Linked DNA regions of Callithrix jacchus. The protein of the gene in region 4 purifies or fractionates together with the protein of the main gene of each other region. This does not show direct contact. Links are inferred from orthologs where the notes say so. Each region holds a gene or a part of one and is shown on either strand. Other genes may lie near its edges. The genes, in order: ITGA9, CANX, CD63 and ITGB1.

Region 1 (7,565 bases), on a different chromosome or scaffold from region 4:
CACGTCTCCAGAAAGGAAGCCAGTGCACCCAACCACTTTGGACTCCAGGGCGTCTGGGGCAGAGGAGGCGGAGGGATGGGGAGGGATGTGAAAGACGTCCGCTCTGGAGGCTGCACGCCAGCCAGGCCGCGTTTATTTATATCACAGGGTGTTACAGTTGCCAGCCCTGCAGCTGAGGAACTGGTCCATGTCTAAAGGAAGGGGACAGAAATCGGCTTTGTCCATGTCCCCTGGCACCTACTGTCGTTGTTCAAAGGGTGCCAGAAGACTCGGGGATGGGAGCTATAGGAGAGGAAGCCGGCTCTGGGCAGGCAGATGCTCGCTGGGTGTTACTAGAGAAAAAGAAAATGGAATCGCTTGCACGTTTGTATCCCAACTGATACAAACATCATCTGGAACACTGTCCAGGATATTCTGGTCCATCTAGCCATGGGACAGTCCTCACTGCCGAGAGCTCAGTGACAGAGAGACCACTCAAGCAAGTACTCAGAAAAGCTGGGTCTGGGGCTCTGTGATCAGTGTGATATGGCTGCAGAGCTGGGTTCAGTCACCAGGGCTGGGAAAAGCAAGATCACCCCCACCCTTACACAGGGATCTAGGACCCTCCGATTAGAGACAATTTTGAGCTACAAAATAATCGAGAGAAATGCTTAGTTATAGGATCAGAGAAGTGCTAGTTCCACCAGAGCACATTCATATACTGTGAGATGTACACCCACAGGTTCTGCCGCCTGCCGAGTCCATGCTGACTTTGCTGTCTGGGCTCTCCTCCTGCCACTTCCAGAACATTCTTCTCCCTCCCTTTCCCTATAGACAACATATTTTTTTCACCTGTAAAACAGGTGGTTGATTAGCATGAAGCAAACGTCTTAGACTGCAAAATACTGAATTAAGTAACCATGAATAATGTCGTCAAGAAGAGAGACATAAGATACAAGGCTCAGTGAACATGTCTTCTTTTCCTTTCAAAGTTTTGCTATATTGCTTTTCCCTTGCATGTCTGTATTTTACCTTCCTCACTCAGGACTAGTATTTGATACTTTTCAGTCACTCCCATGTAGGTTCTATCCTCTTCCATTGCACTAGAGCAGCCCTTTGCAAAACTACTCCAAGCCTCCAGCGTCTGAATAAATCAATGCATTTTTCTAAAGTACACACGCTTCACTGGCACTTTGGTAATACACAGAGAATGCCTTGAAGCTGCCATCCTCTCTGACCTAGCAATTCCAAGCCTAGAAATTTATTCAAAGGAAATAATTAAGATTGTCCTCAAGGGTTTCCTTAAAGGTTGTTTAACCCTGCTGCTATTTGCAATCACAAATCATTGAAAATGACCAACATGTCCCTCAAGCATGGCTAGAAGATCCAGGGCTCAGGTTCTACTTAGTAGTAAGCAACCAATAATCTGTCACTAAGTCAATCAACCAACCACAGAGTCAGGAAAAGCAACCAGTCCCAGAGTTGATGTTAAGGTACAGACTTAGGGCAAATCCAGAATTCAGAGGACCTGATCTTATACGTTTAGGGTGACTACCTTTAAGAAAATTAATATGCAATTATAAAATTGGGGACAGGGAATTAATAGGACCCTGCATAAGCTAGAAGCCTTTGGCTTAAGTTTCAGCAGCCTCGCACAGTGAGTCTAGCCTCTAGAGGAAAGACAAAGGAGAAAGAAGAAGATGCTGGAAGTCGCTCGTTTCAAAGGCCGCAGCTTACCAAGCCTGGGCAGTGTAAGCAGCAAAAAATACATTCAAGGTCTAGGACGAAGAATATTGGGAGAAAGGGGAAAGAGAAAAAGGATGGGGAGGAAAATACTTGAAAACAACATCAAGAGAACAGAAATCAAGAGGAGAAGAAAAAGTTAAGGCAATGTGGTGGGGGCGGGGAGGAAAAAGAAGAGTTCTTTTGAAAAGATTTCAGTAGAGTTTAGGTGGTGCCTGAGCAGCTACAGGGACAAGCACTCCAATACAAAGAGTGGCCAGCTTACATCAGAACGAGAGGGGGCACTTTGGAGCCCGGCAGCCCAGCTGTATGGTCCCATGGACCCCTGAAATGCCAGTCCCACATCTCAACTGGCAACAAGGCTATGCACAGCGTTACTGCCCAGCTCCACACCGACTCCCTACCATTTACACCGGGTACCAAGTTGAAGACCAGACTGTCTTTTCCTACACTGGCCAAATCTGCTCACGTCACACAGCTTTTCTTCATCCTCTTCTTAAAACAAAGTAGGCTGAACACCTTTTCTGTCAGATCTGCCCTCCTCATTCCTTCCGCAGCCCAGGTGGCTTTGACCTGTGGCCCATGCAAATCCACAGTGACAGTAGCCTGGCCTCTCTCCCTCTAGCTGTCAGAGAGCTCCGGGCACTTGAGCCACCCTCAGCCTGCAGATCACACACAATGCTCTCTGGCTGGCTTGGCTGCCTGCTCCGCTGCCTGCCCTTTCTCAACAGCCCCCTGTCGACAGCAGCCCAACCATTTGTGACAGAGCTTCCCGCGTGCTTCGTGCCTAGTGCGGGGATCTGGGATGTGTTCTTCAGTCGCAGACCCTGAGTCTGCAGGACATAGAAAAAGCCTTCAGCCCGCTCTGCTTTAAAAGGGGAAATTGACAACTGTAAGGACAGACAGACACTGGGTCTTAAACCCAGCAAGTGGAGTCAATCAGAGAAGGGGAATGTGGAGGTGGGTGAGAGCTATGGGAGGACTTTGAAAGCCGGTTCTCTTGGAGGCTGATCTCCCAAACAGCATGATTCTTAGTGGGCTGCTCCCGGAGTCCCCTTTTCAAGGAATGCTCGAGTTCTGCGATCCACAAACCACCCTTTTCCATCAGCCTCTGTCCAATACAGAGCAGTGACTCTCCTGCGTAACTTCATGCTGAGAGCACCGGCATCAGTGACCTCGACCTCCCTGTCTGCCACCCCTAAGGACGCTCAGGCTGGTGACTACACAATAAAGTCAACCCCGGCCTGGCTGTCACCTGGGTCCCCATTGACGGATGACCTTGAACGGAGAACTTCCCGCAGCCCCTCTCTCCTATCGAGAAGTGACCACTGTGTGGCTATTTAATCCCTGTGGGCCAGGGGAAGTGGCCAAGGAGGGCACCAACCTCCTCTTCGTGCTTCTCCACTCGAGTTGGTCACAAGCTCTGTACCACTCAGCTGATGATGCTTAATGGAGCCAGAGCCGCCACCTTCTTCAGGCCCACCGCTCCGGGCTCAGAGGACAACTGAATCCCTTGGCCTCTACAGAAACACATCTCTCTCTCAAGGCTTCTGGTCAAAGTCTCCAGGTGGAATTGGTCCATATGAGAAGAGACTCAGGCTGCCCCAAGAAACACCTACCCGCCCCACCTCTGTCACTCGGAAGTGCTCTCTTACCCTCCTCTTCCCTATATCCAGGAGCTTCTCCACCCCACTTCCATCAAGGGTCTTGTAGGGGTCGGGGTAGGGGGGCCTCTGGGCTCCAGCGCGCCCGAGGGATCCCAGACGCCCTGCCCCTGGGGAGCACCACCCCGCGCAGCGGCGCTGGAGAGGCTACGCTCCTTCCTCAGAGGTTCCCCAAAACCGGGGAGGGGTGCAGCTGCAGTGCCCTGATTCCCCCAGGCCCGGCGAGGTTCGGGAGGCTCGCCGGGCCCACGCGGCCGCTCGGAGGCAGAGGAGCCAAGTTACTCCGCGATCCGGAGAGCGAAGCCGAGTCTAGCTGGGCGGTCCAAGAGGCAACTCTAGCGGCGCTCCCCGCATGCTCGGGGCTGGGACCCGGGGGAGGCGCGCGACAGCCCCGCCCGCCTCCAGGCGCCGACCGCGACCTCCGCGGCCCCCGGACGGTGTCCTCCCTTCTCCCGCCGTCCCCCGGGGGCCGAGCCGCGCGCAGCGGAGACATTTAAATCGCCCCCTCGGGACGGCGGCGGGGAAGAGGCCGGAAAGTCGGCGGCGGGCCCGGGGGCCGGGGCGGTGGCCGCCGGGCCGGGGTCGCGGAGCGGGCGGACACTCACCAGCGCGTGTTGTCGTGGAAATGCTCCAGCACCGCGTAGCCGAAGAACGAGTTGGCGGGGCCCTGGAAGCGCACGGGGCGCTGTGGGTCGAGGTTGTAGGCGCCCGCGGGAACTCCCGCGACCACCAGCGCCAGCAGCAGTGCACGGAGCCCCCTGGCGCCCCTGGGCACAGCCGGGCCGCCCATCCCCAGCCGGCTGCCGCCCTCCCCTCTGCTGGGCGAGCGGGGCGCAGAGCGCGCGGGCCGCGGGGTCCGCCGACGGCCGGGAAGCGTCCCCGGGGCGGGAGCTCTGCGCCCGAACGCAGGCGGGATGCGGGCGCCGGGGCGCGGACGGCTGGCTGAGCGGGCGCGCAGGCGAGCACAGGGGCGGCCCCGAGCGGTCGGCGTCCTCTGTCGGCCGGAGAAGTCTGAGCGAGCGGGTCCCGGGCCGGGCGGCGCTGGACTGCGGAGGGGCGCGCCCGCTGGGAGGGCGGCCCGGGCGGCGGAGGCTGGACGGCGCGGCAGCGCCCCCTGCGGGCCGCGGGCCCCGAGCACTTCCCGGGCAGGAGTCGGTCCCGCGACCCGCAGGACGCCCGGAGCTGCCCCCTCCCCGCTGCGCCCCGGGCGCTCGGGTTCCCGGAGGCGAGGCTGCGCCCCTCCGCCACTATGGGTTCGGCCGGCCCTGAGGGCCTGTCTCCCTGCTTAGGTCTCTCTTTCCCTCCCAGTCACAACCAGCAAGGTCCAGAACAACCTGAGTGAGGAGCGAGTTTAGACTCCAGAGTCTGGCCCTGCGCGCCCGCCGCTCCTTCACCCAGTTGTGGGATCAGCTGCAGGAGCGGCGCTCAGTGAACGCCGGCTGTCGTTAATCACAATAGCAGCCACGTGGAAGCGAGCAGAGCGCCCCTCAGTGTTCTAGTCACTCGCTCTCCTACACCAGTGATTCCCGAAGTGCAGTCTCCGGACCAGCAGCATCAACATCATCTGGGAACTTGGCAGAATGCAGATCCTCAGGCCCCACTCAGCCCTGCTGAATAGGGGCTCTGTGGCTGGAGTCCAGCAGGGTCTGCGTGCACTCAACGCTGTCACTGTAAACATGCGTAATAGAAAGTTTACCATCTTCACCATTTTTAACTGTACAGTTTGGGGTATTAAGTATATGCATGTTATGCAGCCATCACCGCCCTCCGTCTCCAGAACTCTTCATCTTTGAAAACAAACTTTACACCCTAAACAATAACTCCTCTTTCCCCTACCCTTACCCCCATCCAGAGCCTCTGGCAGCTACCTTTCTACCTCCCGTCTGTGAACTTGGCTACTCAAACTCAAGCTTCCTACTGAACTGACTGCGATCCTTCCAGTCTGACCACACTATTGTGGTTTCCCTGCCTGTGTTCTCTTCTTTCCACTTTTTACTTCTACACCAGAGTTTGGGTATTGTTTAAAAGCTTCCTGTTGCCCCCCGCCCCCACCCTCTTCTCCTGCCTCAAGATGGAGCCACACCTCCTCAGCATACCTTCACATGGAGGTTCCATCTCCTTTTCCAGCCCCATTTTAAGCCCCTTTCCCACTCCACTTCCCACAAACCCTACAGTATATCCACACACAATTTCGAGCTGTCCTCTGAGCCTGTCCAGCAGGGGTTTTCACACACATCTGTTCCTTCTCCAACGCTGTTCTTTCTTCCTAAAATTGCCTACCCCTCTTAAACTGGAAACAAAAATCCTATCCATTCTAGACGTCCAGGCCAGTCCTCCCCTCACCCTTTCTGTCCCATTTCCTCTGCCCTTTTCTCTTCTGGGCTGCCAAAGGGTATTAACATGCCTCTGTCTCAACACTTAGAACATGGTAATCATTTCAGGGGCTCTCTGTCCCTCTCCAGAGATGGTAAGGCTCTCCAGGGAGAAAAAAGTCTTAGACATCTTTGTAGCCCCAAGGCCCAGCTCAGTGCCAGGCATAGGAAGATGCTTAAACATTGTTGAAAGAATGAACTGGGCTCATGCCTGTAATCCCAGCACTTTGGGAGGCCGAGGCAGGCAGATCACTTGAGTCCAGGAATTCGAGACCAGCCTGGCCAACAATGGCCAACATGGTGAAACACCATCTCTACTAAATATACAAAAATTAGCTGGGCATAGTGGTGCACGCCTGTAATCCTAGCTACTCGGGAGGCTGAGGCAGGAGAATTGCTTGAACCTGGGAGGCAGAGGTTATCGTGCCACTGCACTCCAGCCTGAGTGACAGAGTGAGATGACATCTCAAAAAAATTTTTAAAGAATGAACTACTTAAAGAAAAGCAAGCTTAGGAAGAGGACAAAGCACTTTGGGGGAGATTTTGAAGGAGACTTTTAACTTTGTGTTTTGGTGACAGTGAAAAATGATCAATTCTCATTGCAGGACACTAAACACAAGGTTTCCTTTTGTTTTTCTTTTTTGTTTTGTTGTTGTTGTTGTTTTTGAGGCAGGAGTGCAGTGGCGTAATTACAGTTCACTGCAGCCTCGACCTCCCAGGCTCCAGCAATCCTCGCACCTCAGCCTGCCGCGTAGCTGGGACCACCGGCTTGTACCACCATGCTCGGCTAATTTTTGTATTCTGGGTAGAGATGAAGTTTTGTCATGTTGCCTAGGCTGGTCTTGAACTCCTGAGCTAAAGCAGTCCACCTGCCTCGGCTCCCCAAAGTGCTGGGATTACAGGCATGAGCCACTGCGCCCAGCCAAGGTTTTCATCTGCGGTAGAGATCATTAGTATCTCCCTGGTATTTATACTTCCCATTTTCCTTACTAACAAGTACCAGAGCGAGTGGCGTGTTAATATGCCTAGTTTTAAAAATAAATAAAACTATGTTTCCCAGGCTCTTTTGCAGATAGAGTGGCCTTGTGCAGTGTCTGGCCAATGAGATAAGAGCATGTGTTATTTGGGTGGTAGGCTTCTCAGGAGGTTTCTTAAAGGAGAGCCAACTCAGCTGACCTATGGCTTTCATCCTGTCTAATTATGTGAATCCTTAAAAGCAGAGAACCTTTCCTTGTGGTAGCCAGAGAAAGATGTGTGAAGGGGAAGTGGGGTCAGAGAGATGCCACATTGCTGGCTTTGGAGATAAAAGAAGGGACCCATGAGCCAAGTAACACAGTCAGCTTCTAGGAGATGGAAGAGACCACGAAATGAATTATCTCTAGAGCCTCCAGAAAGGCAGCTCCTTGAGTTTAGTCCAGTGAGACCCTGTCCAACTTCTGACACCCAGAACTGTAAGATAATCGATGTTGTTTTAAGCTACCATACTTGTGACTATTTGTTATAGCAGCATTGGGAAACCGATAGAGCCCTCTAGAATTGTACATAAAAGTGTATTTGCGTGTTTCTTAGTGAAAGATCCATAGATTTCAACAGATTCATTAAAGGTAAGGTCGGTTTTAGAAGGTAGGAAACCACTGATCTAAAACACACAGATTTCTGTCTTTAGAAACCAAACCCTAAAAGTTATATCAAGTACAAATTATAGCATTGGTCTTTGATTTAACTGAACAGCAGCTCTCAAACCTGACTGTACATTAGACCCCCAGTCAACCATTTAAAAATACAGACTCAGCAACAGCACTCTGGG
Region 2 (7,447 bases), on a different chromosome or scaffold from region 4:
ATATTCTGTACATATTTTCACATATGTGTTAATGTCCAGGCATGGTGGCTCACACCTGTAATCCCAGCACTTTGAGAGGCCAAGACAGGAGGATCATTTGAGCCCAGGAATTGGAGACCGGCCTGGACAACACAGTGAGACTTCATCCCTACTAAAAAAATATACACACACATATAATATTAGCTGGTCATGGTGGCTAAATTTTTATTTTGGCTTATTTATGGTGACTTATCTTTTATTTTTCATGAAAATGGGGTTTTACCATGTTGCTCCGGCTGGTCTCACACTCCTGGGCTCAAGAGATCCTCCCACCTTAGCCTCTGAAAGTGCAGGGATTACAGGCATGAGGAAGACAAGATTTTTTTTCCAAGATAGAAGACCCAATGAGATCCTTACTCCTGCTTCATCTTTTTTTTTTCTTTTTGAGACTGAGTCTTGCACTGTCACCCAAGCTGCAATGCAGTGGCGTGATCTCAGATCACTGCAACCTGTGTCTCCCAGGTTAAAGAAATCTTCCTACCTCAGCCTCCCACATAGCTAGGATTAAAGTCTCGTACCAGCACACCCAGCTATTTTTGTATTTTTAGTAGAGGCAGTGCTTCACCATGTTGGCCAGGCTGGTCTAAAACTCCTGACATCAGGTGATCTGCCAGCCTCAGCTTCCCAAAGTGCTGGGATTACAGGTGTGAGCCACCACAGCCAGCCCTCATCTCGCCTCTTGCTTGACAAACCTACACAACCTTTTTGACCTACATAGCTCTATTCCCCAGAGGATTCTGAGCTGTAGGAGGTAAAAGCCAGGGTCCTTTGTTCCTGCTTTCTACTCTGTCACTTTCATCTCCTGGGCCAATGAATTTGGCTGTTCCCAAGCAGGGCTCAGGACCAGGGTGTGAAATTCCAGAGCAGGAAGAACAAAGTCAGATATTAAAAAATGTCATCCTGATCCATTTAGTTCAGGTCCTTGATCCACTTGGATGCCTCTTTCTAAACAGGACCTGCACTGGGCTGTGGGGCTTCCTGCCTGCTGCAGGTTTGGTGGGACAGGTACCTTTCTCTGCCCTAGGACTGTATTTGTTTTCAGGTAGTCTGGCCAAAGCAATATTCGCTAAACTTAAGCATTCCTGGATCACCTTTATGAGTTTTGCTATTTTGGCATTCTACATTTAAGTTTTTCTTTACTTTTTTATGTAAAGTGTCTTCCTCCTTTTACTTATTTGTGATAAAATTCACATAAAATTCGTTTTGAAGTATACCATTCAGTGACCTTTATTATGATGTTGTGCAACTATCACCACCAGAGTTCTAATTTCTCCTCATACCAAAAGGAAGCCCCATTGTGTTTCCCCCCAACACACACACACAAACTCCCTCCTCCCACCCCTTGGTAACTTAAGCTGTTTCTATGAACTTGCCTATTCTGGAATTTTTTTTTTAAGAGGTTCTCATTAGGTTGCCTAGGCTGACCTCAAGCTCCTGGGCTTAAAGGGACCCTCTCACCTCAGCTTCTTGAGTAGCTGGGACTTCAGGTGTGTGCCAGCATGCTTGGCAATTCTGGATTTTTTTTTTTTTGAGATAGGGTCTCATTTTGTTACCCAGGTTGGGGTGCAGTGGCGTGATGTCGGCTCACTGTAACCTCCACCTCCTGAGTTCAAGCAATTCTCCTGCCTCAGCCTCACGAGTAGCTGGGATTACAGGTGCCTGCCATCACACCCAGCTAGTTTTTTTGTATTTTGGTAGAGATGGGGTTTCACCGTGTTGTCCAGGTTGGTCTCGAACTCCTGAGCTCTGGTAATCCACCCGCCTGTCTCCCAAAGTGCTAGTATTACTGGCACCCGACACGGCTCTCAGCCAACTTTTGGTATTTTTAGTAAAGAGGAGGTTTCAGCTTGTTGGCCAGGCTGGTCTTGAACTCCTGACCTCAAGTGATCAGCCTGCCTGGGCCTCCCAAAGTGCTGGGATTACAGCCGTGAGCCACCACGACCGGCCCCAATAAATCTGGATTTTTAATGTGTTATCTCCAAATTCTGAAACCTTGGCAACAAATGCAATTTTTAAGATTGTGGGTAGAGAAGACCGCATTCTATGGAAGCATAAAAGGAGGCCTGTGCTGGGCGCGGTGGTTTACGCCTGTAATCCCACCAGTATGGGAGGCTGAGGTGGGAGGACTGCTTGAGCCCGGAAGGTCTAGGTTGCAGTGAGCCATGATCGCGCCACTGCACTCCAGCCTGGGTGACAGAGCCAGACCCAGTGTTTAGGGAAAAAAAAAAAAAAAAAAAAGGAGGCCTGTAACAGAGACGCAACTCTCCAAAATGCCACACCGGCAAGTGGGGACCGCACAACCCAAGGTTTCGAGAAAGCTTCTCTTGGGAATGTAAAATACACTTACCCTAGGACTCCTAGTTTCTAAACCTCCTGATCCTAGAGGCCCAGAGGACCGACCAAGTGCAAAGCCCCCCCACACTGTTCTCAGCTCCTGCCGCACCGCACCCTCTATTCCCTGAGCGCCACGGTTCCTCCGCCTGCGGGACTTCGCCCTCGGTTACTTGTATGGCTTGCAAGGCCATTACCTGCCACTCCACCCTGTCTGGGCCCTGCCCGAGGCAAGCCTGGCTTCCAGCCCGCGCTCCCGAAGTCACGCGCAGACCCTCCTCCACGGCCCCATCGCACCCTCCCGAGATGCGTTGCTTAGGGTTGCGTCCCCCGCCGACACCCAGCACCGAGGGGCAGTCCCCGAGGCCACGCAGACCGCCCCCGCCCGCACGCAAAACCTCGCCCAGGGAACAGAAACCGCCACAGTCCCTGGCGGGTCAGGGTTAGTCACAAGGAACGAGGCGCGCATGCGCAGCGCGGGCTTTATTACGTCACTGCGAGTCCAGAACTCAAGGCTGGATCCTGAGCACGTCCCCGCTGGCGCCTGCGCGCTTGCGCATCTTCCTCTGTCGGGCGTGCGCTGCAGCAGCCGGAGTCACCTCGAGGTTGAGCTGCTTTTCCAGCAGGTGCATGCGCGCCGTGGTCTCAGTCAGCATATTCATGAGCACTTCCTGCTGCAGCTTCAGGTAGTTGCTCTCCTTCAGCAACACCTGGATCGTGGTCCACTGCTCCTGCGCCTTCCAGCCCGAGACGGTCGGCGCCAAGTGACCCTCCGTTGTCCACCGGCCGCCGCGGAACTCGAAGGCCTGGTTTTCGAGGCGTATGCGCGGCGCGCCGTAGCAGAGGCCCAGCTCGGCCTGGCGCTTGCTGTAATCCAGCAGGTAGGAGGTGGACAGGGAGGAGATGCGGCGCGCTGGCGGCCGCCGTGGCGAGAAGCGCCGCGAGATGTGATCGGCCCAAAACTGCCGCAGCTGCTCCCACACGTGGCTGGCATGGCTCGTAGTCAGGCACTCGAAGGTTGCCATGGCGAGTGCTGGGTGGACCTTGTAGGGCACGCAGGTGCTAGGAGGGGAGCCTCGGGAGTGCTGGCGACTCCCCAGCACTGGCTGCGCTCTTGCCTCGGGAACCTGGATGTCCAGAATGATGAAGGCGAGCCAGAGGGGCTGCTGGGAGGCAAGAGTATGAGTGAGCAGCTTGCTCAATACAGGCTGCCTATCAAACCTCGAGGCCGGTGGACATGGCTTAGCCCTGCAGCTAGGGTTGCGGCTGTGGCTAACCAGGTGCTGGCCACCGAGGAGCCCGTCCCTCCACGCTGCACAGGCAGCCGTCTCACCTAAATCACCTTACCCAAAGACCACTGAGTATCAGGCGCTGGGATAAATATGCAGATGAAGGACGCTAGGAGCGCCCTGTTCTCTTAGTTTCAGCTGGAAGGGTGAGGGGTAGGGAATGGTAGCAGAGACAAGTAGGTATTGAAAGGAGTAGGACTTTGCCAGGTGAGCTGAGGATGGAAAATGGAGAGCAGAAAGGCAGAGGGAAGAGCCAAGCAGGGTTGTTTGTTTATTTGTTTGTTTTTGTTTTTATAGACGTAGTTTCGCTCTTGTTGTCCTGGCTGGAGTGCAATGGCACGGTCTCTGCTCACTGCAACCTCTGCCTCCCAGGTTCAAACAATTCTCCTGCCCCAGCCTCCAGAGTAGCTGGGATTACAGGCACCCGCCACCATGCCTGGCTAATTTTTTTGGTATTTTTAGTAGAGATGGGGTTTCACCATGTTTGCCAGGCTGGTCTCGAACTCCTGACCTCAGGTGATCCGCCCACCTCTCCCTCCCAAAGTGCTGGGATTACAGGTGTGAGCCACCGCACCCGACAGGACTTTCATGTTTCAGATGTGAACACGAGCTTGGATAGGATTGGTGCTGAGAAGAGCAGAAGAGGAAGCTGGGAAGGTGGACCGGGGCACTATGTGAGGGTGCTGCACAGGCAGGCTCAGAAGCTTATACTTCTTTTTGTGTGTAAGAGGGAACTGCTGAAGGCTTACAAAGCTAGGGTTAGATCTGGATTCTGGAAACAATCTGGGAGGGTGTCTAGCATAGCCAACAGCATGATTGCCCTCATCATTCAGTCAACTAGCATATTCTCTGTGCCAGGTCCTGGTCTTGGAAGGAGGACCTGAAACAGCCTCTGCCTGCCCTCAAGATGCTCCTGATCCAGCTTGGAAGACAGATGCCTGTGTAGACCACGGTCCAGTGTGTTCACTGACATCCTAGGGTGTGTGCCATGGGCTAGAGCTATGCATAGGGCTCAAAGTAACAGACATGACAGATTGTGCACACTAGACATGACTTTTGTTCCAAACATATTATGTCCTAAGGGAATCCAAAGTCCAGATAACAGACAAGTCCCATTTTGCTCACTTCTCCCTGTACTCCCCTGCCCAGTAAGTGCTGATTCTATTATGTGAAAAAGGGAGCTATGTGTTTTTGTTTGTTTGTTTTTGTGATGGAGTCTCGCTCTGTAGCCCAGGTTGGAGTGCAGTGGCATGATCTCAGCTCACTGCCACCTCTACCTCCCGGGTTCAAGCAATTCTCCTACTTCAGCCTCCCTAGTAGCTGGGACTACCTGCACATGCCACCACGCCTGGCTAATTTTTTGTATTTTTAGTAGAGATGAGGTTTCACAGTGTTAGCCAGGATGGTCTCAATCTAACTTTGTGATCTGCCCGCCTTGGTCTCTCAAAGTGCTAGGATTACAGGCATGAGCCAACACACCTGGCCAAGGAGTTATATGTTGTTTTTAATTTCTCTTCTGCCCATGGACAGTGAGAAGAAAAAGAATTTGAGCAGGCTTCCCTCTTATACCTTCGTTAATTCATAACACACTTATCCCTCACGTATAGCTGGGCAGAGGCTGGATGGTACATGCCATCCCCAAGATGTGGTTTAGGGAGATGGTCTCTGGAAGTCCACATCTAGGCCCACCCTTGAGATTGCATCTTGTCAGAGGACCCTTCCCCATTAGTTCTCACTGTATGTTGTGCCTCACCTGGAAGATGTGGTGGAGTTGCTGAGCTCCTGTCCCAGGCCTGGCTCCGTCTCTGACCCACTCAGCTAGTGTCTACCTGCTATGACTCACAATGCCTCCAGGCCAGGCTATCCCAGGTCAGAAGGGTTGCTGAATGCTGAGCTGTCAGACAGACCCAGGGCTCTCTGCTGCATGCATTCAGTGCATCATTCATCACGTACTGTTTTCTAGGAACAATTCTAGGGAAGTGAAGAAGATATTGCCCTCATTAAGCTGTCATCCTTGGCAGGGGAATGAAGGGGGTGGTCATAAGCAGAGTCCAAGACAGGAATTTGTTCTAGAGGAACCAATAAGATAGTTTCTGAGGAAGCTAACAGAGGGTGTCATGGGTCAGGTTCCCTAGAAGCAGAGCCTAAGATGATCATTCTTGCTCGAGTGAATTATTGGGGAAGTGCTCTCAGGAGAAGAGGGTGAGGGAAGCAAGACAGGGCAGGGAAAAAGGCTAAGGCTGAGGCAGAGTGTGGTCTCACATAGAGACTAGCTTCCGCTTGCTGTCATGGAGAACTGTGAGCACAAATGGCATCACACTTAGGCCTCCTTAAGGCAAGGGAGCCAGTCTTTTGTATCCTTCTACATGTTAGTTATGGCAGGGGCAGCTAAGAGTTACCAGGCAGCACCTAGAGCACCTATGGGATGAGTGCACCACCAGTGATAGGAATTTTGGTGGAGCACCAACTGAGCAGGGAGGAAGATAATAGAATAGATGATGGCAAGGTGCAGTGTGGCTCACACGTGTAATCTTAGCACTTTGGGAGGCCAAGATGGGTGGATCACCTGAGGTCAGGAGTTGGAGACCAGCCTGGCCAACATGGTGAAACCCTATCTCTAGTAAAGCTACAAATACAAAATTAGCCAGGCGTGGTGGCATGGGCCTGTAGTCCCAGCTACTCAGGAGGCTGAGGCAGGAGAATCCCTTCAGGCTGGGAGGCAGAGGTTGCAGTGAGCCGAGATTGCGCCATTGCACTCCATCCTGGACAAAAAGAGCAAAATTCTGTCTCAAAATAAAAAAAGGAATAAGAATAGATGAAAATGAAAGGGCAGACTGGCCAACATGGCAAAACTCCACCTCTACAAAAAAACTATTAGCTGGGCATGGTGGCATGCGTCTGTAGTCCCAGCTACTCAAGAGTCTGAGGTGGGAGCATCACCTGAGCTCAAGAGGTTGAAGCTGCAGTGAGCAGTCATTGTGCCACTGCACTCCAGCATAGGTGATAGATACCCTGTATTAAAAAATTCAAAAAAAAAAAAAAGTGCCGGGCACCGTGTTTCACACCTGTAAATTCCAGCATTTTGTAAGGGCAACAAGAGTGAAACTTCATCCCCCCAACCCAAAAAAAGGAATGACTAAATGAGTAAGAATGCCTAGGCCAGGCATGGTGGCTCACGCCTGTAATCCCAGCACTGGGAGGCTAAGGTGGGCAGATCACAAGGTCAGGAGATAGAGACTATCCTGGCTAACACTGAAACCCTGTCTTTACTAAAAATACAAAAAATTAGCCAGGTGTGGTGGCATGCACCTGTAGTCCCCGCCACTCAGGAGGCTGAGGCAGGAGAATCACTTGAACCCAGGAGGTAGAGGTTGTTGTCAGCCAAGATCACATCACTGCACTCCAGCCTGGATAGCAGTGAGATTCCATCTCAAAACACACACACACACACACACACACACACACACACACAAAGACTAGTTCTGATATGTACAGTGAAGAAAACAAAATTGAAATACAGAAAGTGATTTGGGGACAGGGTGAGGGTAGGAACTAATTTAGTCATTGTGCTCAGTGAAGGCCCTTGACGTTCATGCTAAAACCTGAACAATGAGGAGACCCCAGTCCCTTGAAGACTTCGGGGTTCAGGAAGCAAGTAGCTGGGCATGTTTGAAGGACAAGTGCCATGTGTGCAGACAGTGGAAGGAAATGAAATCTGTCTTACCTGCTAAGCCCACCCACTTGACTGCAGGGGACAGACCCAGCTCCAGGAGAGCTCAAAAGCTGGA
Region 3 (7,757 bases), on a different chromosome or scaffold from region 4:
TCCCAGCTACTTGGGAGACTGAGACAAGAGAATCACTTGAACCCAGAAGGAGGTTGAAGTGAGCTGAGATCGTGCCACTGCACTCCAGCCTGGGCAACAGATCGAGACTCTGTCTCAAAAAAAAAAAAAGGTTCTCTCTTCTCTTGGCCTCCTAGAATGAAGGGAAAAAAGCACAGGCTTTGGAACTCCCCCAGAGATCTGGGTTCAAATCCTAAGACTGCCTTTCACTGGGTTAGATCAATGTGTCAGAGGCGTTTGATCCAGAGTGACTCCATTTTGAGTGAGGGCTGGGACTTGCTGGGATGCATTATCAGAAAGGCATTTTTAGCTTCCAGACATTTATGGTTAAGGGAACAAATTAATAATAATAATAATAATAATAAACAGATAATATCAATTCTTACAAAATATAGTAATTAAGAAAATTATTTATCACAAACCCTTGTAGCAGAGCACATCTCTCCATATATATGAGCATTGTACCTAGGGTAGATGTGTTCCTCCTTTTTTTTTTTTTTTGAGACGGAGTTTCGCTCTTGTTACCCAGGCTGGAGTGCATGGCATGATCTCGGCTCACCGCAACCTCCGCCTCCTGGGTTCAGGCAATTCTCCTGCCTCAGCCTCCTGAGTAGCTGGGATTACAGGCTCGCGCCACCATGCCCAGCTAATTTTTTGTGTTTTTAGTAGAGACGGGGTTTCACCAAGTTGACCAGGATGATCTCGATCTCTTGAGCTCGTGATCCACCCGCCTCGGCCTCCCAAAGTGCTGGGATTACAGGCTTGAGCCACCGCGCCTGGCCCCCCCTTTTTTTTTGAGATGAAGTTTCACTTTTGTTGCCCAGGCTGGAGTGCAGTGACACATCTTTGCTCACTGCAACCTCCGCATCCTGGGTTCAAGCGATTCTCCTGCTTAGCCTCCTGAGTAGCTGGGATTACAGGCATGCACCACCAGACCTGGCTAATTTTTATATTTTCAGTAGAGATGGGGTTTCTCCATGTTGGTCAGGCTGGTCTTGAACTCCTGACCTCAGGAGATACACCCGCTTTGGCCTCACAAAGTGCTGGGATTACAGGTGACAGGCACTGTGCCGGCCCTTTACCACTTTCTTTTCTTTTTGAGACAGAGTCTTGCTCTGTCTCCCAGGCTGGAGCGCGGTGGTGCGATCTTGGCTCTCTGCAACCTCTGCCTCCCAAGTTCAAACGATTCTCCTGCCTCAGTCTCTCCACTAGCTGGGATTACAGGTGCCTGCCACCACACCCGGCTAATTTTGTATCGCCACTTTACTTTCTTAATAAACTTGCTTTTACTTTGCACTGTGACTTGTCCTGAATTATTTCTTGCATGAGATCCAAGAACCCTCTCTTGGGGTCTGGATCGGGACCTCTTTCCTGTAAACAAATGCACTGGCTGATAAATAATAAAAAAAAAGAAATAAAGAAAAAAAATAAAAACTAGAGTAACTTGTCGATATAATCATATCATGATATGCCCGTTTTGTTAACCATGATAACAGTTCACAAAATAATTTTCTCATGTTTAATTCTCAGTCCATATTTATATGTCCCAAAATGTCTTTCACAGCTGGTTTGTTCAGACAATTATTCAGTGAAGGACCAAGTTGGTTGTTATGTATCGAAAGTCTCTCAATCTTGGTTTTCAGACCACCTTCAACACATCTCACTACATCCTTCCCAAGCACTTCGAGCCAGCCAACCCCAAGCTGTCATATACTTTAAAAAAATGCTCCTTTTTGGCCGGGCGCGGTGGCTCAAGCGTGTAATCCCAGCACTTTGGGAGGCCGAGGCGGGTGGATCATGAGCTCAAGAGATCGAGACCATCCTGGTCAACATGGTGAAACCCCGACTCTACTAAAAATACAAAAAATGAGCTGGGCATGGTGGCGCCTGCCTGTAATCCCAGCTACTCAGGAGGCTGAGGCAGGAGAATTGCCTGAACCCAGGAGGCGGAGGTTGCAGTGAGCCGAGATAGCCGAGATCGCACCATTGCACTCGAGCCTGGGTAACAAGAGCGAAACTCCGTCTCAAAAAAAAAAAAAAGCTCTTTTTTTTTTTTTTTTTTTTCACAGTTAACTGCTTCCCTGTCCCTGGAGCTCTCCCCTTTATTCTCCAAGGTCACCTTGAGCACACCACCCTGCTCCATGAAATCCATTCTCCTATCGTCCCTTTGAGCTTAACCAGCTGCCGCAGCAGGCTTCTGCCTTTCTTCAGTGTGGCCAGAACTTGGTTCTGCCTGCTGGCACAGGGCAGGGCCACTGTCTTCCTCTCCTTGCAGCCCCCGTGCCTAGCACATGCCTGGCATCTAGTGGCAGCACAATGAGGAACCTGAATCCTCCTTTTTTCAGCTCTTCGCTCCTCCTCCACAGCCTGCCCTCCATGGCTAGGGAGAACAAGGTCGGGAATTGGCTTGGTGTGTCCGGCGGGAAGGCCATGATCCTGGAAGCTGCTTCTCAGTTCAGCCCAGAGGTTTCTTTCCTTCTTTGTGTACACACATAAACCAAGACTTTAGATACATACATACACCAAGACTCAGGAAGTGGTTCTTGAGGCAGGACTCTAAGAGCCCAAGGAGTGGGGCCCAGGCTGGAGTGTGACGGCCGGTCCTACCCTCTGGTCTGTTCAGATCAGCTCCTTCTGGGGACCACCGCTGGCACACAAGGGAGGGAGGCTGCTTCGCCCCCCTAGCCCGCTTCCAGCCCTCACCTGGCTTTGTCTTCTGGGATAAGACGGGGAAATCCAGAGGACATAAGCCTCTCCCGCCTTCGTGTCTTCCCGCAAGCCCACGCCATAGCAGGCGGATGCAGGAGCTGTCCGGGAGGTTGGGAGCACAGACCTTGTCAATCCTCCCCCAGAGGACGGGACCCGACGAGGACGTGTCTTCTTTGACTGGAGAGTGTGGCTTCGAGGAAGGGTTTCCTCCTCTTTGCTCAGACCAGGAGCCCTGGAAAATGGAGAAGCTGTGCTAATGGAGGGGACCAGAAACCCCCACTCTAGAATACTCTAGCATGTTGGGAGACACCCACGATGAGAGGCCAGGGACTTTCTAGAAGTGCTTGTTCTGACCCCATCCGACCCAGGCAGACCACAGCTGTCTGCAGAGTCGGATGGGGAGGGGCTCGCACTGAGTTGGAGCCAGAGGAGAGAGCTGGGCTGTGGGAGAAGGATAGGGAAGCCTCTCTCAGACCGCCGGGTCACTAGTCCTCCGCTCTCCGCCCCGGCCCTGAGAGGGTAACTCTCACCCGCCTCCTCCGCTTCTCTGAACCAGAGTGACCCAGGCGGCGCTCCGCCCCGCTCTCCTACTCGGTGTTGGCGCGGAGGTGGGGGCGCCGGAGGGGGGCCCCCGGCGCCTCGAGGTCTTGCCCCTGCGGCTTTCCCTTTTCGGGGGTGGGCGCTGTCTTCCGGGTAGAGGCCACGTGGCCCTGGCTGGGCGGGGGGCTCGGCCCACCCCGCGCCGGCCCCAGTGACTCAGACCTCAGCTGTTCCCGCGTCACATGAGGGAGGTCGGCGGCCACCCGGCGGGGGAGGGGACCGTGGCTGGAGCCCGGGGCGGGGCTGCGCGGCAGGCGGGGCGGGAGCCGGGGGGCGCAGCTAGAGAGCCCCGGCGCCGCGGCGGGAGAGGAGCGCGCAGCCTTGGGGAACCCAGGTGAGGCCGGGGGGTCCCGGCGGACTTGGGCGCGGGCTGGCGGAGACCACCGGCGTTCTCCTCCTCCAGGGCTGGCCCCAGGCCCGAGGAGACCTGCCCGGCGCTCTCCAGCCTCCGTCGAGCAACTTTGCTTCGAAGTTCCCAGGCCAGGGCAGGGTGTGGCAGGGGTGCGGGCCGCACTTTATTTTCGTGGGCGGAGAGGTCCAATCCCAGGGAAAAGGGGTCGGGGTGGGGGTCGGTGTTGGGCTGAAGACCGTTTGTCCGGACCGGTTGGGCGGGGAGGGGGTGTCTGACTCCGGGAGGCTGGCAGGCCGAGGATCGGCTTCTGACTCAAGCCCCTGCCGGCGTCCTTGGATCTGTCCTGGGCCCCACGGGCGGCGGGGCGGGGTCCGGGCTTTGCGGCCGTCACCCCCACCCCTCTCCTGCGGGTGGAGAGGGGGCTGGGAGACGTGGATCCAACCGCGGGTTTCCGGGTGGGAGGGGCCGGGAATCGGGGCGTGCAGGGAAGCCCTCGAGGGCCGGCGGGGAGCGCGGAAGGCGAGGTCCCCTCTCGGCCTGTGTTAATCCCCCCGCCCTCCCCTCTGCCCCAGGCCCGGCAGCCATGGCGGTGGAAGGAGGAATGAAATGTGTGAAGTTCTTGCTCTATGTCCTCCTGCTGGCCTTTTGCGTGAGTGGCGAGGGGTCCTGGGGAGCGCGCTGGCAGGGTGCGGGGAGACCTGGCAGCACACTGGTGAGGGCTGAGGGAGTAAGAATGAAGGCAGCTGGAGACCAGATGTGGAAGGAAAGCCGGGGAAGACAGCGCGGCCACTCCCTCCTCCAGCTTTCCTGGACACCTGAGGCTGGTTTCCACAGAGAATGGCCATCCTGGGGTGCAGCAACCCCTACCCCCACCCCTCCTGGCCCTTCCTGTCTGGTGACCCAACCACTTGTGATATGGGGCAGTGAGTGGGGCAACCAGCCAACCGCCTGATGCTATCGCCACGGGGCTTCCCTTCTCTCCCTTCTCCCCTCTCTTCCTCACCCACACCCCCATCCCTCTCCAGTCCTTCTCCCCCTTTCCCTCCTCCCAGCGCTTGGGGGTGAGGAAGGGCTCTGCCCACCTCAATTTGCTCCTGCTCTGGGCTCCTGTCTTGAGAGGCTACTGTTTGTCTAGGGAGGGGCACATCTCTCTTTCCCCCTTTTCTTCTTCCCTTCTCTTGGCCTAACTAGCCAGAGGAACCTTAGTTACAGCTGAGGCGCGTAGGGTGTGCACTGGAGGATAGCGAGGGGCCAGTTCTGGGAGAGAACTGAGCTGCGAACCCTTGAGGCCCGTAGAAAGCCTTATTCTAGGTCAGAAACATGCGCCTTGGGGGAGGTCAAGGCTTTCTGGGAAGCCTTTGAATTTGGTCAAGTCCCTGATTAAAGAGCCTGGAGGGGGTCAGAGGAGCTGGGGCCAGGCAAGGATGGGTCATCCCCCATCCCCACAGCCGAAAAAGTTCACTGGAGGTGTGAGAATCTCTCCTCTGGTTAGGGCCAAGTCTGTGTCCTGGGTGTACCCCTGTCCTCCACCATGGAGGGCCACTGTGTTGTGGGTCCAGCCTAATCCTCGCCTGCCTTTCTCTTAGGCCTGTGCAGTGGGACTCATTGCTGTGGGTGTCGGGGCACAGCTTGTCCTGAGTCAGACCATAATCCAGGGGGCTACCCCTGGCTCCCTGTTGCCTGTGGTCATCATTGCAGTGGGTGTCTTCCTCTTCTTGGTGGCCTTTGTGGGCTGCTGTGGGGCCTGCAAGGAGAACTACTGTCTTATGATCACGGTGAGTGGCAGGGAGTGGGGCCAGCATGGGTGGTCTGGGACTGCCAGGGCAGCTTGGTTGGGGCTCAGGAAGGTGGGTGAGGTGAGGTGGGTAGGTGGGTGAGGAAGACGTTTGTGAGTGTCCAGGGACGGAGTGGGCCGGAATGGGCCCCTGTAATGCAGACCCCAAACCTGATTCCTGTCCTTTGCTCCTGCAGTTTGCCATCTTCCTGTCTCTTATCATGCTGGTAGAGGTGGCCGCAGCCATTGCTGGCTATGTGTTTAGAGATAAGGTAAGCAGGAAATAACGGGAAGGGCCTGCCTCAGCCTGGCAGGGACCCAGGTGCTTGAATTCTGACTGCAACAATGCTCCTTACCTACTCTCAGGTAATGTCAGAGTTTAATAACAACTTCCGGCAGCAGATGGAGAATTACCCAAAAAACAACCACACTGCTTCGATTCTGGACAGGATGCAGACAGATGTGAGTGGGGTTATTGGGAGCAGGGGTGGGAATAGAGAATTCTCATCTCCAAGGCTGGGCGCGTTAGCTCATGCCTGTAATCTTAGCAGTTTGGGAGGTCAAGGTGGGTGGATCACCTGAGGTCAGGAGTTCAAGACCAGCCTGGCCAACATGGCGAAACCTGTCTCTAATAAAAATACAAAAATTAGCCAGGTGTGGTGGCGTGCACTTGTAATCCCAGGTACTCAGGAGGCTAAGGCAGGAGAAACGCTTGAACCTGGGAGGCAGAGGTTGCAATGAGCCAAGATCGTGCCACTGAACTCCAGCCTGGGCAACAGAGCAAGTCTCTGTCTAAAAAATAAAAAAGGAATTCTCAGCTCCATATTGAAGATGGAGGTTCACTTAACCTTCTCCGTATTTCTTCCCTCCCCCAGTTTAAGTGCTGTGGGGCTGCTAACTACACAGATTGGGAGAAAATCCCTTCCATGTCGAAGAACCGAGTCCCTGACTCCTGCTGCGTTAATGTCACTGTGGGCTGTGGGATTAATTTCACCGAGAAGCAGATCCATAAGGAGGTAGGGAGGAGACTGTGTACGGGACTTGGGAAACCTGGGAAATGTTTTGGGAGGCAAGCGAGACCTAGGATGGAGGTGGACAGGGTCAGGGATGGGGAGGGGATCTGGAAATGATAAGGGTGGGGTGAAAGGTACAGGGGCAGGGAAGAGACCGATGGACCAGGGGAGGGGGATGGGGTGGTAAGTTTCTGATGGTGCTTTTGTCCTGTGTGCCTGCCACCCTTCAGGGCTGTGTGGAGAAGATTGGGGGCTGGCTGAGGAAAAACGTGCTGGTGGTGGCTGCAGCAGCCCTTGGAATTGCTTTTGTCGAGGTGAGAGATAACCCTGAGGAGGGGCTGGACTCAGTCCAGGGTGCCTGGAGTAGGGGCAGTGGGGAGGGTGCTGAGCAGGAGGTACTGGCCTGGGAGTGTGTGTTTGGGGTCTCTTGCATGGGTCTGGGGTAGCTTGCCCTTCTGACTCCTCTCCACCCCCATCCCCATCTTTCTTTCTAGGTCTTGGGAATTGTCTTTGCCTGTTGCCTCGTGAAGAGTATCAGAAGTGGCTACGAGGTGATGTAGGGTCTGGACTCTTCGCCCTCTTCATCTTGGGGAGTGGAGTAGTATCCTCCAGGTTTTTCAATTAAACGGATTATTTTTTCAGACGGAAAAGAGAGATGGTCTGAGTTTGTCTTAGAGAGATGCTTGATTCCTTCCTTTCCTTACCCATGTTCCCTGTCCTCTGGGACCTTACTGTTTGTGTACTTCAGGAAGGTGTATTGTGGGGGCATTTGGGAAAGGAGGACTTTGCTGAAGGTGTTGGTTGGGCAGGCAGTGGGAGAGGTGGCAATCCAGAGACTGTGGTGCTTCCTGCCCCCTAGTCTTGTGCCGCCAGGCTCACTCCGAACGTTCACGAAGCCATCTGCTGCATGACTCAAAGCAGCTCCCCAGAAAGGTCCCACCTGGGAGAGCCCAGCCCACAGCTACCTTGGACATCTTCCTGGCCTTTTGTGCACCGCTAAGGGCTTAGCACCTCCTGCCCTGGCCAGTTCTCCAGGGATCCAGCTCCTTTCAAAGTGGTGATAAGTTGCCTTGACACCTGTGTGGCCAGTCTCCTCCTTAGCAAGAGAATTTATGTGAATATTGCCTTTTTTTCCATGGAAGCCACCCAGCCTGACCCCCATCCCTCTTCATCAGTTGCTCTTCTCCCCCAAGAAATATAAAGGCCATTCTCAGTACAGACCCTGAATTGCAACCTTACTCCCCTTTAGAAAATAAGGAAAATGTATCAAAGTGCCCTCTGATGGCCCCTC
Region 4 (7,054 bases):
CAGCCCAAGACTCCATCTCAAAAAAAAAAGGAAAAAGAGTCAGGGGGCATATGATCTGAGATGAGGAGACAACCAAAGAATGGCCCTGGAAGCCTTGCTGTGAAATCTGAACTTCATCCTGCAGGTGGGATACCACTGAGGGAAAAATAGTATTCCACCTACAGGATGAAGGAAAAAGCCAGACACTTGCGTAGCTGCCTTCTGCAAGACACCAAATAAACCACTGTGATTTCAGCTCAGCAGCTTGTGTGATACCAATCAGAACCCGACAACATGCCTCAGTCCTCAGTCCCCTCTCCTCAATATACACCTTGATCGGTTGTTTCAGAAACATGGAGAAACTCAGGATCCCTCAGAGACAAACAGCATATAATGTGTATGACAAAATTGTGCAAACTCTCAGCTCTAGTCCCAATTGAAGTTAATACATTATACAGTTGTGACAACAGACATTTCAAAATGGGGGTCAGAAAACTGGATTCTTGCAACTACCATCTTAAAAAGCCAGAGCACAAATAAGTTAGGCTCCACATTTATATCCTATCTGATTGGAGGCTAAGTGCTATTTGGTCCTTCAAACATGTTGGAAAAATAAATTATTATCTAATTAAGTTTCTTTAAAATAATGTGTTTGCTAAATCTAGTATTTAAAACTCAAGAATTATAAGGGAAGAACAAAATAATAATAATAATAATGAAAGAAAGAAAGCCCTACCCAGCTGAGTCCAAAGTGTAATTTACATGGAAGAACTTACCTTTGGAGAAAAATCTATCTTGTCATATACACAAACATTTGTATTTATTACTTCAAAGTCCATCCAAACAAAAGTTTAACATGCAAGGTTAGATGTAAAATTAAGCTCACTATCTGCATTAGGCATCATTTTAAATGGAGGTAAACTAAAATAATTCAGATTAGTTTCCATCATTCAGAGTGCAACACCACCCAACCCCAACAAAACCCGAATCAAGAGAACAGGGTTACATTACGAAAGGAAGCCCTCAGTGCTCAGTAAAATGTTGTCTTTGTGCTCACTCTGCAATAGCTTCTATAATGTATTAGATATGTAATGCAGAACTGTGGGAGATTTCGGATCCACATTTAAACCTGCATAGCAGCAGATGAGGACAATTTTTTTAACCCACTCCAATAGTTAGAAGCTGAGAATGTGACACGTTCTTTTTACCGCTCCTACTTATGCCAAAGTAATTAGTGCCTGCGAAATATTTCAAAAATATTGGTGACATAATTGACGGGCAAACCTTGGTCCATATCAGAAATTTTTTTTACAATCTATGATATAATTTCTTGATGCTTATTAATTTATTTCAATTTTACTTAGTTAAGTTCTACTTTTTCTTGAGAAAATATCTCAAAAATAATCATATTGCCTGGACTTCAATAATGCAAAGAAATTTTTACCAAACTTTTGCTTCTTGAATTACATTAAATGCTTCTTTTAACAACATTTTAGCCATATATACATTATAAGCATTAAGTTTAAATAACATTTACTGATAATTTCCTTCAAAATACAATTTATTTTTTTTTTTTTGAGACGAAGTTTCGCTGTTGTTACCCAGACTGGAGTGCGATGCAACGATCTCGGCTCACCACAACCTCTGCCTCCTGGGTTCAAGCAATTCTCCTGCCTCAGCCTCCCAGTAGCTGGGACTACAGGCATGCACCACCATGCCCAGCTAATTTTTTTATTTTTAGTAGAGATGGGGTTTCACCTTGTTGACCAGGATGGTCTCAATCTCTTGACCTCGTGATCCACCTGCCTCGGCCTCCCAAAGTGCTGGGATTATAGGCGTGAGCCACCGCGCCCGGCCTTCAAAATGCAATTAAAGGTACGGAAAGGGTGAAAATTTCACCTCTCTGTCTGAAAGAAATTTTTTTCTCCCGTGAAAAATAACCACATGAAATTGTCAATATTTGACTATTTTTTTTTTCCTACAACTAAAGAAAATAATATAAAAGAAAAAAAAAAAGCCTGGCAATGTCATTGACTAATCAGTTTTCCTCTAAAAATGACTTTCTGTAAAGTATTAAGTGAGAACAAGAAAAACATGTCATCACACACTAATACAAATATGCTCCAACCCTGCCCATATGTGAATCTGAATATAATTTTCTGCCATCAAATTTAACTTTAAAAAGTCTTATGGTCTACTTAGAAATAAAAATCTGACAAGTTAATGATTTCTAATATTATCAGTACTTCCTATATCACTTATAACTATTAAACATTCCTGTACTTAGGCTCTTTTTCATGATCCGTTTGTAAGCACACTCCCAACAGTCAATAAGCATAACTGCGGCATTGGGTTCCATGTATTCAAGTGACTGCCCTACTAAGATGTTTGCCAACAGAGGTGGTGTTAACTCCGACAGAGGAACAACAAATTGTCAAAACTCTGTAAATCTCTAAAGAAGACTGATCTACCTCTTCCTAACCAGGTAACAGGGACTTCTGAAGATACGTAACTGCTACCAAGTAGAATATCATAGACAAGAACATGAACTCTGGAGCCCAATCGCCTGGGTTCAAATCCCAGCTCTCTGACTAACTAGCCATGTGAATTTGGTCAAGTTATATAACCCTTATGTGTCTCAGTTTCCTCATATGTAAAAAAACAGGTATAAACATCATTCCTTCAACTTTCACTATGAAGATTAAATATAGATTAAGTGTTTACAATCATGCCTGAGACACAATGAGTTCTATGTAAGTGTTACCAACACCGTCTTTATCTGCAAAATAAGGTAGGCAGTGAGAAAATTGGAAATCTTCCAGGCCCTATTACAGTCAGTCAACTGGGAAAGAGAAGAAGAGTTCCCGATCACCAGTCAAGAGAATTTAGTTCTAATCACAATTAACCTTGGTTATCACTGAGTTTTAGGAGCTTGCATGATTATATTGAAATACGATGGAAGCATTTCATGAAAATTCAGACAGGAACAGTTTCAAACTTACACTTGAAAATTAGAATCATTCTCACATACACACACAGACACAGACATATATATAATATACAAAGATATATATATATAATATGGTCTTCCAGCTTTTAATGAAATTTAAAGTTATATTCAATAAATTAATCTCAAATCTTCTGAGAAACAATAATAATGATATTGTAGTTGCATACCACACAACTTACATTTAATTTTCTATTTTGCAATTTGGAGTCCATGATCAGTTTTCACTACCCAACCCTAAGTTTACTCTAACAATTTGTTATTTAAGGATAATACTGGTGGGGGCACAGTGGCTCACACCTGTAATTCCAGCACTTTGGGAGGCCAAGGCAGGCAGATCACTGGAGGTCAGGAGTTCTAGGCCAACCTGGCCAACATTGTGAAACCCCGTCTCTACTAAAAATATAAAAACTAACTGAGCATGATGGCAGGCACCAGTAATCCCAGATACTTGGGAGGCTGAGGCAGGAGAATCACTGGCATCTGGAAAGCAGAGGTTGCAGTGAGGGGAGATCATAACACTGTACCCCGGGCTGGGTGAAAGAGCAAGACTCTGTCTCAAAAAAACAAAACAAAACCAAAAACAGAAAAAGAAAAAAGGATACTATCATTCTAGGCATAGAATTGTTGTGAGGATTAGAGCTCACAAGCTGATTTCATATACTGGAGTGCATTTGCCAAATACAATTGCCCCATACAATACAGAATACTGACTCCCTTTGATAGATGAGAGAAGTGAAGTGGCTCAATGCTGTTCTACTTACTAAGTGGAAGAGCTGGGGTTTGACCTGAGGTCTGATTGCAAATCACATTCTCTTCTCACTACAACACAGCTGCTGTTTCTATACCACATTACTTATTTTAGTCTTTCTAAAAACGAAGTTAACACACAAAAAGAAAAGCCGCAATAGCGATATAAATAAAGCCAGACTTAAAAGAAAAGCAATAGTGATAAAGGGCACACAGTGCAGTAAAAAAGTAAATGTTCACATGCAAAGGCAGAAAGTGAAAGAAAATACGAACGGCAATTTAGAGACCAGTTTTACGTCCGTAGTTTGGATTCTTGAAATTATTAATAGGACTCTTGTATATCGGATTTTCTTGCTAAAGTAAAAGAAATAGTTTCTAATGATTTCATCAGAAAAAAAATAGACATTTATAGTGTTCAAACACTATAAAGGGAATTTTTTTCTATTTCTACCCTTGTGAAATTTATAATTTTAAAAATTGATAATTTAAAAAAATTCCAGCAAACTGTAGTTAAGTGCAAGTAACTACAATTCATTTACAACTTAAAAAAACTAAAGATTGCCAATGCTTTCTTGTATCAAAATATGAATACACAGAGGCTGAAACTGACTCCATATTTCAAAGCACTAAATGCTAACATAAACTTTCAGTCACTTAGGGCTTTTAAAATTTTTATAAGCCAAGGTTTACTGAGATATAATTTTCATAGAGGAACATATACCTTTTTAAAGTACATAGTTCCATGAGTTTTCAAATACATAAATACATCCAAAATCAAGATCATCCCAGGAAGTTTCCTTATGGCCCTTTGCGGTGAACCCTTTTCCTCATTCCAGCCCCTAGCAACAACTGATTTTTGCCCATATAGTTTTGCTTTTCCAGAATGTCCCTTAAATGAAATCACATAGTATATAGCAGGGGTGTCCAATCTTTTGGCTTCCCTGGGCCACCTTGGAAGAATAATCATTGTCTTGGGTCACACATAAAATATACTAATGATAGCTGATGAGCTTAAAAAAAAAAAAGTCACCAAAAAAAAAAAATCTTACAATTTCTAAGAAACTTTACAAATTTGTGTTGGGGCCACATTCAAAGCTGTCCTGGGCTTCATGTGACCCACGAGCTGCGAGTTGGACAAGCTTGGCATATAACCTTTTGAATCTGGCTTTCACTGAAGGTTCTTTGTCTTTTTTTGTTTGTTTTTTTAAAGAAAGAAGCAGCTTTCCATTGAATAGCTTGCTACACAGGTAACATTATTTAGGATTCTATTTCACATTAGATGAAAAGGCAGATTTAGGATCAAAACTATTAAAGAAATAAAAATACCGGCCACAGTAACTAGAATATACGTGTTTATAATCAATGTTTTGTTTCAATGAGATATATTTAGGATGCTTCCTGTTTTTCATTAAACGCAAATTCTTTGAATGAGAAACTTTTGGGGGACTAAAATATTTAAAGGAATTTAATAATCAGCCTGACAGTTAATAAGTAAGTCTTAGGAGTATTACATTTGATTTATAAGCCACATTGGTTTTTGGATGTTTTGTAACTTACCGTGTCCCATTTGGCATTCATTTTCTCCTTTTCAAATTTAGCAAATTCCCTTCGGTCATGAATTATCATTAAAAGCTTCCATATCAGCAGTAATGCAAGGCCAATAAGAACAATTCCAGCAACCACACCAGCTACAATTGGAATGATATCTGGACCTGTAGGACACTCTGGAAAATAAGAAGGTAGTAAGGAGCACACAAGGGACAAACACATGCAGAGTCCAGCGACAACCACAAAGAGCTGCGCAGTATCTTATAAAAAACATACAGAAATAAACACACAAGACAGTGAATGCACGCTATCCCAAAGACTCCATAAAGTAGCTTTTGGAACAAGTGAGTTTAGGAGGTCACATGATCAATGAACAAAAATCATGTATTTTTCTACATATATAATGTATTTCTACATATTGAAAATAGAAATTTTTAAACAGTATCATTTATTACAAAATGAAGAAGCATGAAAAACTTACATATAAGTCTAACAAAATATATGCAAGATCTGCATGTTAACAATTGCTACACACTGATAAAAAGAAATCTTTAAGACTGAAGAAATGGAGGGATATTCCATGTGCATGAATTACAAAATCTAATACTGTCAAGATGTCAATTCTTCTGAACTGGATCTATAAACTCAACGATATCCCACCCAAATTCCCGGCAGAACTTCTGTAGCAATTAGCAAACCAATTCTAAAATTTACAAAAAAGGCAGAGAACTAGGGAAGTGTCTCAAAAACACTTTTGGAAAGAATACAGTTGGAAGACACCTGCTTCAGGACAAGCTATAAAGCTACAAGACCATGTGGTATAGCTAACAGACAGACTCAGATACATGGAACAGCAATCAGAGTCAGAAACAGACCTACACATGTAAGGTCACCTGATTTTCAACAAAGGTGGAGAAAGGACAGTCTTTTTTCAACAAATGCCCCTGGAACAAGTAGACACTAATATGAAAAAAAAACTGACCCTTTTGCCATACACTAAGACTAACTCAAAATAAGTTACAGATCTAAACGTGAAACCAGAAACTATAATAAACTTCTAGAAGAAAACACAGGAGAAAAAGCTCTAAAATCTTGGGTTAGGCACAGTTCTTACAGACAATGTAAAAGCAAGATTCACAAAAAGAAAAACTTGGTAAACCATACTTCATCAAAACTGAAACCTGTGGTGTTCAAAAGACACTTATAAAAAGATAAGGAGGCACAGGCTGGGAGACAATATTTGCGAAACACCTAGCTGATAATGCAAAACAGTACGAGACTCTAAGAGTATGGCAGCTTCTTACAAAGTTAAACATATGCTTACCATATGCTCCAAAATGCCATTCTTAGAATTTACCCAAGAGAAATGAAAGCTTATGTTCACACAAAAGCATGTACACTAAAGTAGCAAATTCCAAAGAATCTATAAAAAGCTACTAGGAAAACTAAGATTAAAAAAAAAAAGTTTCACCTCCTGAGAAGTTAAACAAATTCAACACTTATATATTAACATCCTTTAGCAAATTATCTTTCCCAGTATTCAAGACTAAATCAAGCTCTAATTTTAAAATCATCAATCATAAAAAAGTCTTATTATGCACCTGGTGTCAGGTACCATTCTAAGTGTCTTACATAGATCACTGCATTTAATCTTCAAACTCTCCACTCAGAAAATTTAAAATTGGAGCTCTCTTTTCCTTATTTCTTGTATGGTTAATTAAATACTATTTTAGGCTTCAAGAGATGAAAAATTTCCCAACTTGAACCTAA

Evidence for each region.
Region 1: the proteins of ITGB1 (region 4) and ITGA9 purify together in Homo sapiens (affinity purification with mass spectrometry; 3 studies listed by BioGRID and IntAct, counting the BioPlex papers as one, with this or other methods). This does not show direct contact. The link is inferred for Callithrix jacchus from reciprocal best matches to the Homo sapiens genes ITGB1 and ITGA9.
Region 2: the proteins of ITGB1 (region 4) and CANX purify together in Homo sapiens (affinity purification with mass spectrometry; 3 studies listed by BioGRID and IntAct, with this or other methods). This does not show direct contact. The link is inferred for Callithrix jacchus from reciprocal best matches to the Homo sapiens genes ITGB1 and CANX.
Region 3: the proteins of ITGB1 (region 4) and CD63 purify together in Homo sapiens (affinity purification with western blotting; 3 studies listed by BioGRID and IntAct, with this or other methods). This does not show direct contact. The link is inferred for Callithrix jacchus from reciprocal best matches to the Homo sapiens genes ITGB1 and CD63.

What each region holds. Positions count from the first base shown.
Region 1 is NC_133518.1:75,301,671-75,309,235, reverse strand, and holds the start of ITGA9 (integrin alpha-9), read right to left. Parts: upstream 4,400-7,565; 5' UTR 4,177-4,399; coding exon 3,992-4,176; intron 3,723-3,991; exon of another isoform or gene 3,378-3,722; intron 1-3,377. UniProt on the Homo sapiens protein: Integrin alpha-9/beta-1 (ITGA9:ITGB1) is a receptor for VCAM1, cytotactin and osteopontin. It recognizes the sequence A-E-I-D-G-I-E-L in cytotactin. ITGA9:ITGB1 may play a crucial role in SVEP1/polydom-mediated myoblast cell adhesion.
Region 2 is NC_133503.1:71,971,926-71,979,372, reverse strand, and holds the start of CANX (calnexin), read left to right. Parts: upstream 1-3,536; intron 3,537-3,591; coding exon of another isoform or gene 3,592-3,609; intron 3,610-4,517; 5' UTR 4,518-4,638; intron 4,639-7,447. Other genes in the region: CBY3 (sperm annulus positionning complex subunit Chibby3), read right to left, coding at 2,880-3,536, 3,592-3,609. UniProt on the Homo sapiens protein: Calcium-binding protein that interacts with newly synthesized monoglucosylated glycoproteins in the endoplasmic reticulum. It may act in assisting protein assembly and/or in the retention within the ER of unassembled protein subunits.
Region 3 is NC_133510.1:63,925,788-63,933,544, forward strand, and holds CD63 (CD63 antigen), read left to right. Parts: upstream 1-3,608; 5' UTR 3,609-3,828; intron 3,829-4,251; 5' UTR 4,252-4,262; coding exon 4,263-4,328; intron 4,329-5,265; coding exon 5,266-5,454; intron 5,455-5,650; coding exon 5,651-5,725; intron 5,726-5,819; coding exon 5,820-5,915; intron 5,916-6,328; coding exon 6,329-6,469; intron 6,470-6,696; coding exon 6,697-6,780; intron 6,781-6,960; coding exon 6,961-7,026; 3' UTR 7,027-7,116; downstream 7,117-7,757. UniProt on the Homo sapiens protein: Functions as a cell surface receptor for TIMP1 and plays a role in the activation of cellular signaling cascades. Plays a role in the activation of ITGB1 and integrin signaling, leading to the activation of AKT, FAK/PTK2 and MAP kinases.
Region 4 is NC_133508.1:32,597,281-32,604,334, forward strand, and holds part of ITGB1 (integrin beta-1), read right to left. Parts: intron 5,461-7,054; coding exon 5,294-5,460; intron 4,091-5,293; coding exon 4,016-4,090; 3' UTR 4,010-4,015; intron 1-4,009.